2 linked regions of the Alligator mississippiensis genome follow. The protein of the gene in region 1 interacts with the protein of each later gene in a pairwise test. Links are inferred from orthologs where the notes say so. Each region holds a gene or a part of one and is shown on either strand. Other genes may lie near its edges.

Region 1 (3,749 bases):
GGGAACCTTTGTAGTTAACACGATGGATTCCCCAGTATAAAGGTTGAGTCGAGTATATAAGAAGGGACTGAAATATCACTACAGCAGGGGTGGGAACCTGTTCAGCTGTAGGCTGGAATAATCCACCCTAAGTCGGAGGGGACGGGTGCTAGGAATCCGTCTGTACCTGTAGCTTATCTCTGCATTGGCATCAGGAGAGGGCCTACAGCTGAAGTCCCATGTCCACGGGCTCTGTGGCCCCTAGGTTGCCAGTCCCTGAACTAAAGAAATACAATATCAAATTCCTTCCTTCTCTTCCAACACTAAAAATAGAAACAGATGTTCACTGTGGACACTATACCTGTCTTTGTGCTTATGAAGTGAATCACTTAGGATGAGTCTCGTTTAATAAAATTAACTTTGTACATAATCTTTTTTTTGTTGTTCAGTTTTGAGAACGTATGAGCAGGTGAGGGTCATTTTCAGAGTTGCTTTCGAATTAGAAATGCTCCATAAAGGTTGTAAAGAACTTCTAAAATCTTGGCCCAAAGGGTGTTAACTAGGGCAGGGTTGTCCAACTGCCGTGTGACCCTTGGGCTGTCCCCAGCCACTGCTCTTCCCATCACTCTGGCTGCAATAGCAGTTGAAGTCTCCAGGTTCCCCATCCCTCCTTCAGCTTCTGGCACTTCAGGGGATGGGATGACGTGCAGCATGAGGAGCTAAGGGTGAGTCTGGGGCTGTGCCTTGGGGTGTGGGGGCATTGTACCAGTGCACGTGACCATTGCAGCAGGAGGGGGGGGATCACAAGGTGTAATAGGAAGTGTAGGTCCCCAGGACACATGGCCCCTGGGTGCTTAGAAGTTGGACAGCTCTGACCTAGAGCCAGGACACGTACATTTGGAGCCATTTCAAAAGGGGAAACTGTTGCTACCCTCTTGAAACGGCTCCAAATGTACAAGTGGCCATTTCCTTATGTGCTGCTGTTATTTTACACTATGAATATGTATTTCAGATGTATTGAGAAATCGGTTTTCTTTTTCTGTCTTTGACCTGCTTAGGTTACATCAGCACAGTCTGGCAGAGGTAGACATTTCTTTGTTCTTGACGTTTTATCTGGTAATATGTATAGTATGTGTGGTGGGCAGTTTATATTGTGGTGTTTGGAATTACAGGAGGAAGGAAGCATGCTGCTTTTTCATTTATATTAAATTCTAGTAATTTTACCTCCTTTTCACAGAAGTTTCTACCTTGTTTCTAAGCAAACAAGTAGTTTTGCTTTTAGAGTACTACATGCTACTTGTCTTGCTACATTTTTAACAGCTTGAAGATTTAAAAAATATATCTTGTCATTTTTTATAAAGATTGCATGGGAGTGTGTTTTAAAATGTCTGCTGTGAATTTTCTCCTTTGGTGTCATGAATATTTTAATAAGCTTTTGTTTTATACATGCAGGCCAAGCACACTACAGCATATATAATTGCTAGAGAAAGTTGAGAGCAGTATTATATAGTTTGAAAAAGAATAATTTTTGAACAACAGAAGTCTCTCTATGCCTGAAGATGGGTACGTGTGCCTGGAAGCTTGCAAAGAACCTTGTTCCAACTACTCAGTTGGTCTAATAAAAGATACCACATCTCTCCAAAGAACCTTGCCCGCCTAATTTTTGTTCAGGCTTATTTTATTCATTGCTATCCTCATCTCTGAGATTAGATTTAGTATCTTTTTTTGTCCTTTATAACAGCTCATGTATGGTTTTCTTGTGTTTTTACAAACAGTTTATTGTAAACAACTCGGCAATTGTGTAAGCTAGATTAATATTGCTACTCATCTCACAGATACCAAAACCTAAGGCCCAGGTAGAGAGGAAAGGTCCTGTGTTTAAGATACTAACTACAACTTGAGACCCTGGGTTGTATTCTTGGCTGTGCACCAGTTTTCTATTTGATCTTCATTAGGTTAAGTGGCTCTCCATTTAGCAGAGGCTTTTTAGCCTTTGCCTGGCTTTAAAAATCTGTATTGAATTCAGTGGAACTCTGCATATGTTTAAAGTTAGGCACATATTGACATTTAACCTAGGCAGGGCCCAGATTTCAGGGCACATGTACGCTGCCTGCATGCCCAGCTGGGGAATGCCATGGTGAGGTTTACTGAGCCTCCTCTGGACCTACTGCCATTCAAAACGGAGGTAAGGCGGCTGCCCACCAGCAAGTCCTGAGAGGCAGCGTAACCATCCTCTCTGAAAAGTGGATAATAAAACTTCTTTTTGCTGCTGCCTCTGTTCATAGTGTAAGTTCTTCAGGGCAAGGACTTCTTGATTAGTGAGGCTGTATTATGTCCTTGCGTGGTTATGTCTAAAACCTTGATTTCACTTGGTACCTCTAAGTGCTACAGTAATACAAAACGATAAATAAAAGAATGGTCTGCAATTGCATTTGGAGCTTCTGCAAGCTGTTAAGATCGAAATAATATTATTAAGATAAGTCAGAAGTCTGATTGTGCATCCTGTGTGTGTCTTTGGAAATGGTTGGGCCTATGCAGTAGGATGTTTTATGTGAATTAGTGTTCAAGCTTCAGTCCTGTGCTGACTTGCCCAGTGCTGTGTGGTAAGGTTGAGCCAGATTTACAGCAGCCTGAAGCCACAGTTACTGCTTCTAATCATAGACTGATGTTTAATCTGGCTGCAGATCCTTTTTGGAAAAAATTGCTTTTATTTTAACCAGTGTGTTTATAAGTTTGAGTGTGTTTTTGTTCTTAGGTTTCTATTAAATCAGCTGGCGATGTCTATGATCTTATCTGCCTCCGTGGTCCGTGTGAGGGATGGACTCCCACTCTCTGCCTCTACAGATTGTGAACAGAGTGCAGGTGTGCAGGAATGTAGGAAATATTTTAAAGCGCTCTCAAGGAAACTTGCTCAGCTTCCCGACAGATGTACGCTGAAAACGGGGCAGTATAACATAAAGTAAGGTTCTTCTCTCATTATCCTTGCAATGCTTCCTAGTGGTATCTGCTGTAGCAAGTTAAGAATTACAGTATAGAGGTGATTAATCAATTTAAGAATACTGTCTTATCTCACATACACCCTGCTTCTCCAAAATAAGGCGCATACCTTGTTTTTTAAAGGCAGAACATACAAAAAGGATTTTTCCATACTCATGGCTAATTCTATGACATTAAGTAAGTTCTCTTGGGATTGTAGCATCCAGGAAATGTGGCACCAGGAAGTTTTTGGTGCCAGCTGCCTTACCCAGACTCTCTTCTGGGATGCCAGGCTTTCTAGTTGCTATGTTTCCAGCAGGACTTGCTCAGTGTCACACAAGGTTAGACTCCAGACCCTTGCAAGGGCAGTAGCAAGACTGTTAGTTCTTTACAGTAAGTAGTTCTTTATATAAGTTCCTGAAAATAAAGTGTTGTTTCCACATTACAAGCCCCCATCAAGATACTGCCACCAGCTCAGTTGCTGCTTCAGGCACCGGGTTCTGTGTTTTCTGTGTTCAGCCAGTGGCTGTGGCTCTGGGAGAGTTAACAAGGACTCTGCCATCTTGGCAGCTGCATGGCATGCTCCAGGCTTGCTGCTTTTCCAGTGAAGGAAGTATCTTCCCTGCTTAAAATACACACCCCAATGTGCAGATGGGTGGACGGGCATGAGCGCAGCAATAGCTGAATGGGAGTGCAGGGCCAGTGCTGGTGCCCCAGGGCCAGGGCCATCAGGGGCCCAAAGTAAGCCTGCAGGAGCGTGGGGCCTGGGCTGGTGGGGGCTCTATGGAACCAGG
Region 2 (3,749 bases), on another chromosome or scaffold:
TAAAATGGAGCGGTCAGCCAGAGGCACAGGGAAGCCCTTGCTCTCCTTTTCCTTGCCCTGCTTGAGCTGCAACAAGAAATAATAAAATCAGACACATGTGGTTTCCCACCCATCAGTGGCACGGTGAGTTAGAGCCAGGCCTGGGGGCTACAACTCCTGGATGTAGCCAGGTCCAAACTGTGTGCTCAGGTCAGCTTTTCCTCTGGGGAATGCAATGCCCATGATGCTCCAAGGTGTCCTCCACGACCACTGCACTGCATTAGCAATGCTCCCCCAGTGCAAACACTGCTTTGCCATAATATTGAGCTTGCACGCATGTTGGAGGGGCAGCATTGTCCAGTAGTGGGGCCAGGGTGAAGGCTTCTGGGTCGTTTCCCCGCTAGCCATTTTTTTGACAGGTGACCTTGGTGAAGTAATTTTCCACCTCGGCTTCCAGTTTGCCTATTAGGAAAATGAATAGCTTCCCTCTGCTCTGCATGAGTGCGGGGCTGGATCGATTACCTTGGCACAGCCCTCCGAAAGCCCTGGACAGGTGCCACTGCACAAAAGCAGTTTATGCCATGCGTGCAGCCCCATATGGCTGCATTCAAGCCCTGTCTGTGGGGGTGGGCAGAGGGCTCTTGGGCTGCCCCGCAAGCTGCTCGGGGCCTGGGCTGCCTGGGCAGGGGCAGCAGGAATCCTCTGAATAGCCATGCAGCAGTGGAGTTGTGGGCCCCCCACATAGCCTGTTGCCTGCAAAGCTGGGTCCTGTATCCAGGACCCTGTTCCTCCCAAGGCAAGTGAACCAGGACTGTGCAGCTTGCCATCTCCCAAGTAACCAAAGAACATCCTGCATCCTCTGCAATGTGTTGGTCTTTCCTGGTGTCCTACCCTCAAGAGCCATCTGCCCTGTGCTCCCCTCCATACCCAGAAGGCCCACCTGGGTGCTCACCTGGTGATACTGGAATGCCTTGGTGATGGCGTCCAGGCCCTGGATGTTGTCCTTGTCAATCCTGGTAATGTAGCAGGCTTGGGCCAGCCAGGATCTGTAGCTGATGATCAGCTGTTTGCAGACAGAGCACATGTTGGCTTCAGCCCTGGTTTCCTTCATGGCAGCACCTCATTTGTGCTTACCAGAGCTGCATGGCTGCTTCCAGTGGTGCAGCCCCTTCCACCTTTTGGCATGCACATTGCCCATCTGTGCCTTGTTTCCTGCCTGCCACACATAGCCTACAAGTCCCTTACCCCTTCCATAGGCCTGTCCTTACCCTAACTCTTGCCCTTTCATTTGGACCAAAGGTGCACCTCCCTGTCTCTCTGCTGATCACACAACACTGAGCAGTATTATCTTGCACTCTCTTCCCCTGACGAGCGGTTTCTCCACATCCATCTTGGACTCCTTTGCTCAGTACTTCCAAGAGGCCCGTGGAGAGACAGCACTTGACATCAGCTTAGTGCTGGCCCCAAGCCACAGAACCCAGAGATCCAGGGGCAAGGGCATATTTACATCTGGGGGCTGTGGACTGAGCCTGTTAATGAAACACCAGCACTGTCTCAGTTCGGTCTTCATTCAGCGTCAGCACCTTGACTTGTGAGATCAGGGCATAGCATGGGCCCCTGGGTTGCAACCCACCTCAGTCTGACCTACCAGCTCCCACCCAGGCCCAGCTGCTTACTTTGTTGTAGTCATACACGACCATGGCAGAAGAGTTGATGCCTTCCTTGACATAGAAAGTCCCTGCTCGTTCCTTCCTGCTCATGGAGAGCTGCTGTGGGGACTCCTCCCCATCCTGGCCCTGGATGGTCATTCGCAACACCTGGAAGCCAAGAAAATCCTCAGAGTCAGGTCTGACCAGAGCTGGGAGACAGGTGGTCTGAAGCAGGACAGGCAATGGTGCATCAGACGCTTGCTTCCATTGCTTGAGGAGGCACCCGCAGTGTCTCCCCCCATCAGTCCTGCCAGCCTCATGCAAGCGGAGACATTAGCAAACCAGGCCCTTAGGTTGGCACAGCATCCAGCGTCGGTTGTTGCTAAGATGTTTCTGGGTTTTTTGGTTTCTTTGCTGGCCTTGCTAATCAAGCCCCATTCCTCTAACATCCTGCCACAAACCCCATTTGCACTTGCCCACAGCTCCACCTACTCTCTTTGTATACCTGTGTACATGGCAGAGCAGCCCCTTTGGCCACCCCCGAGCACTAGCACAGTGATGCATATATTTTTGCATGTGGGTAATGCCCCACTTACCGTTTCTGTGTGCTTCTCAGTGATGTGCAAGCCCAGCAGGAGGAAGCCCACGACCACCACAACCAGGAGCACGAGCACCACCACAACAATCAGGAGACACTTGACCTGGTGGGGAATGCAGGGAAGCCGAGGGGAGGCTGTGTACCTCTGGGGGAGCACAAGAGGAGAGAAGGTTAGCACTAGACATAAGAGGAACCAGGGTATGATCGCAGGAGATGGCCCTGGGTCAGGGGTTGATTCATCGAGGGTAAGGGTGTGAGGATGCTCCTTACCGGAGGCGCCTCTACCAGAGCCTCCTTGCTGCTAATGTCCATCTTTCCCCTTGTCCTGTAGTCTTCAGTTTTTCCAGTGTCCTGCCAGCTTCTGAAGAGCCTGTGGGTGGCAAGAGGCTTATATAGCGGATGCTGAGGAGCTGGAGAAGAGAGCGGCGCTGGGACTCTCCAGGTTCTCTGGCTCCAGGTCAGGAGTTCTTGCAGGCTATGTTTGCTCGGGGCCCTTCAGAGCCGGCTCCCAGATAAGCCCCTGGGAACCTGTTGGCTGAGAGTCTCTGAGGGCTCTTGGCCCTGGGGGCACTTGTACACGTTACGATTGGCTCCATGCTCTTTGTTGCCCCAGAAGATGTACTTGCAAGGAATATGAGGGCCAAAGCAAACCCACTCTGAGAGCCTGGTGCTGCCCTTGGGGTTGGAGTATTCCAGCCTGTCAGTATGGCCTGGCTCGGCACCCCAGGTCTCCCAGACAGCTCGGGCACCTGCAGGTGCTTCAGCTATTCAAAGGAAAAGCTGAAAATTAAGGGCCTTCCAGGCTGTGCAGATCCAAGCTCAGGTTCCCACTGCTTGCTGACTGGCCTGGTCTGGGCACTTCCCAATGTGCCAGCTGTCCCGAAGTGACGTCTGACCTCACTGCTAGGTGCCAGCCAACCTGTAGCCCAGCTCGAGGCTGCTCAGACCTTCACCTGCCTGCATTGCCTCCGACCCCACCTGCAGCTGCCTGTGAACCTTGGGAAGGAACAAAGAGGGACTGTGGTCGTGGCACGCCGTCTGCAACCTGTAAGCTGCTCATCCTGCAGGTCCAGAGTGTGCACGGAGCAGAGGCTAGGTGTTCGAACCCAGGCAGCACTTTTCAGTCTTTGTGATGGCTTTGCAGACTCTGGGTGCGTGCCAGCCCCTTCAGTGGCCTGGGGTATTCTCCTTGCTCAGTACAGGATGTTCTGTGCCCAGTCTTCCTGCTTCCTTGCAAAGTGCCCACCCTGGAGAAATCTGGATAGAGCAGAGCCCCATGCCAAACAAATGAAACTGCCTGGATCAACTGGACTTCACTGTTTCAGTGAAGCCCTGAGGGGGATTCTAGCTGGCAGCTCCCTCTACCCATCTCCCCTCTCCACCCGGGATCTAAGGGAAGACCCCCCAGGCTGGTATGCGGCTACTCCCCCCTTGCTCTGCCTTTGTTAAGCCCTGTGGTTCTTGTTTATTTGCTGCCAGCATCTCAGCCTCACTGCCCAGCTGCAGCGGGTAAGAATGCCCTC

What was found. The genes of interacting proteins can lie anywhere in the genome.
Region 2: the proteins of SEC22A (region 1) and pulmonary surfactant-associated protein C interact in binary tests that used the Homo sapiens proteins (3 or more experiments, as listed by UniProt). The two-hybrid records come from large-scale screens. The link is inferred for Alligator mississippiensis from reciprocal best matches to the Homo sapiens genes SEC22A and SFTPC.

The regions. Positions count from the first base shown.
Region 1 is NC_081827.1:246,128,885-246,132,633, reverse strand, and holds the start of SEC22A (vesicle-trafficking protein SEC22a), read left to right. Parts: upstream 1-1,200; 5' UTR 1,201-1,528; coding exon 1,529-1,542; intron 1,543-2,734; coding exon 2,735-2,938; intron 2,939-3,749. UniProt on the Homo sapiens protein: May be involved in vesicle transport between the ER and the Golgi complex.
Region 2 is NC_081830.1:21,487,085-21,490,833, reverse strand, and holds the start of pulmonary surfactant-associated protein C, read right to left. Parts: upstream 2,539-3,749; coding exon 2,497-2,538; intron 2,372-2,496; coding exon 2,225-2,371; intron 1,797-2,224; coding exon 1,656-1,796; intron 1,043-1,655; coding exon 932-1,042; intron 67-931; coding exon 1-66. UniProt on the Homo sapiens protein: Pulmonary surfactant associated proteins promote alveolar stability by lowering the surface tension at the air-liquid interface in the peripheral air spaces.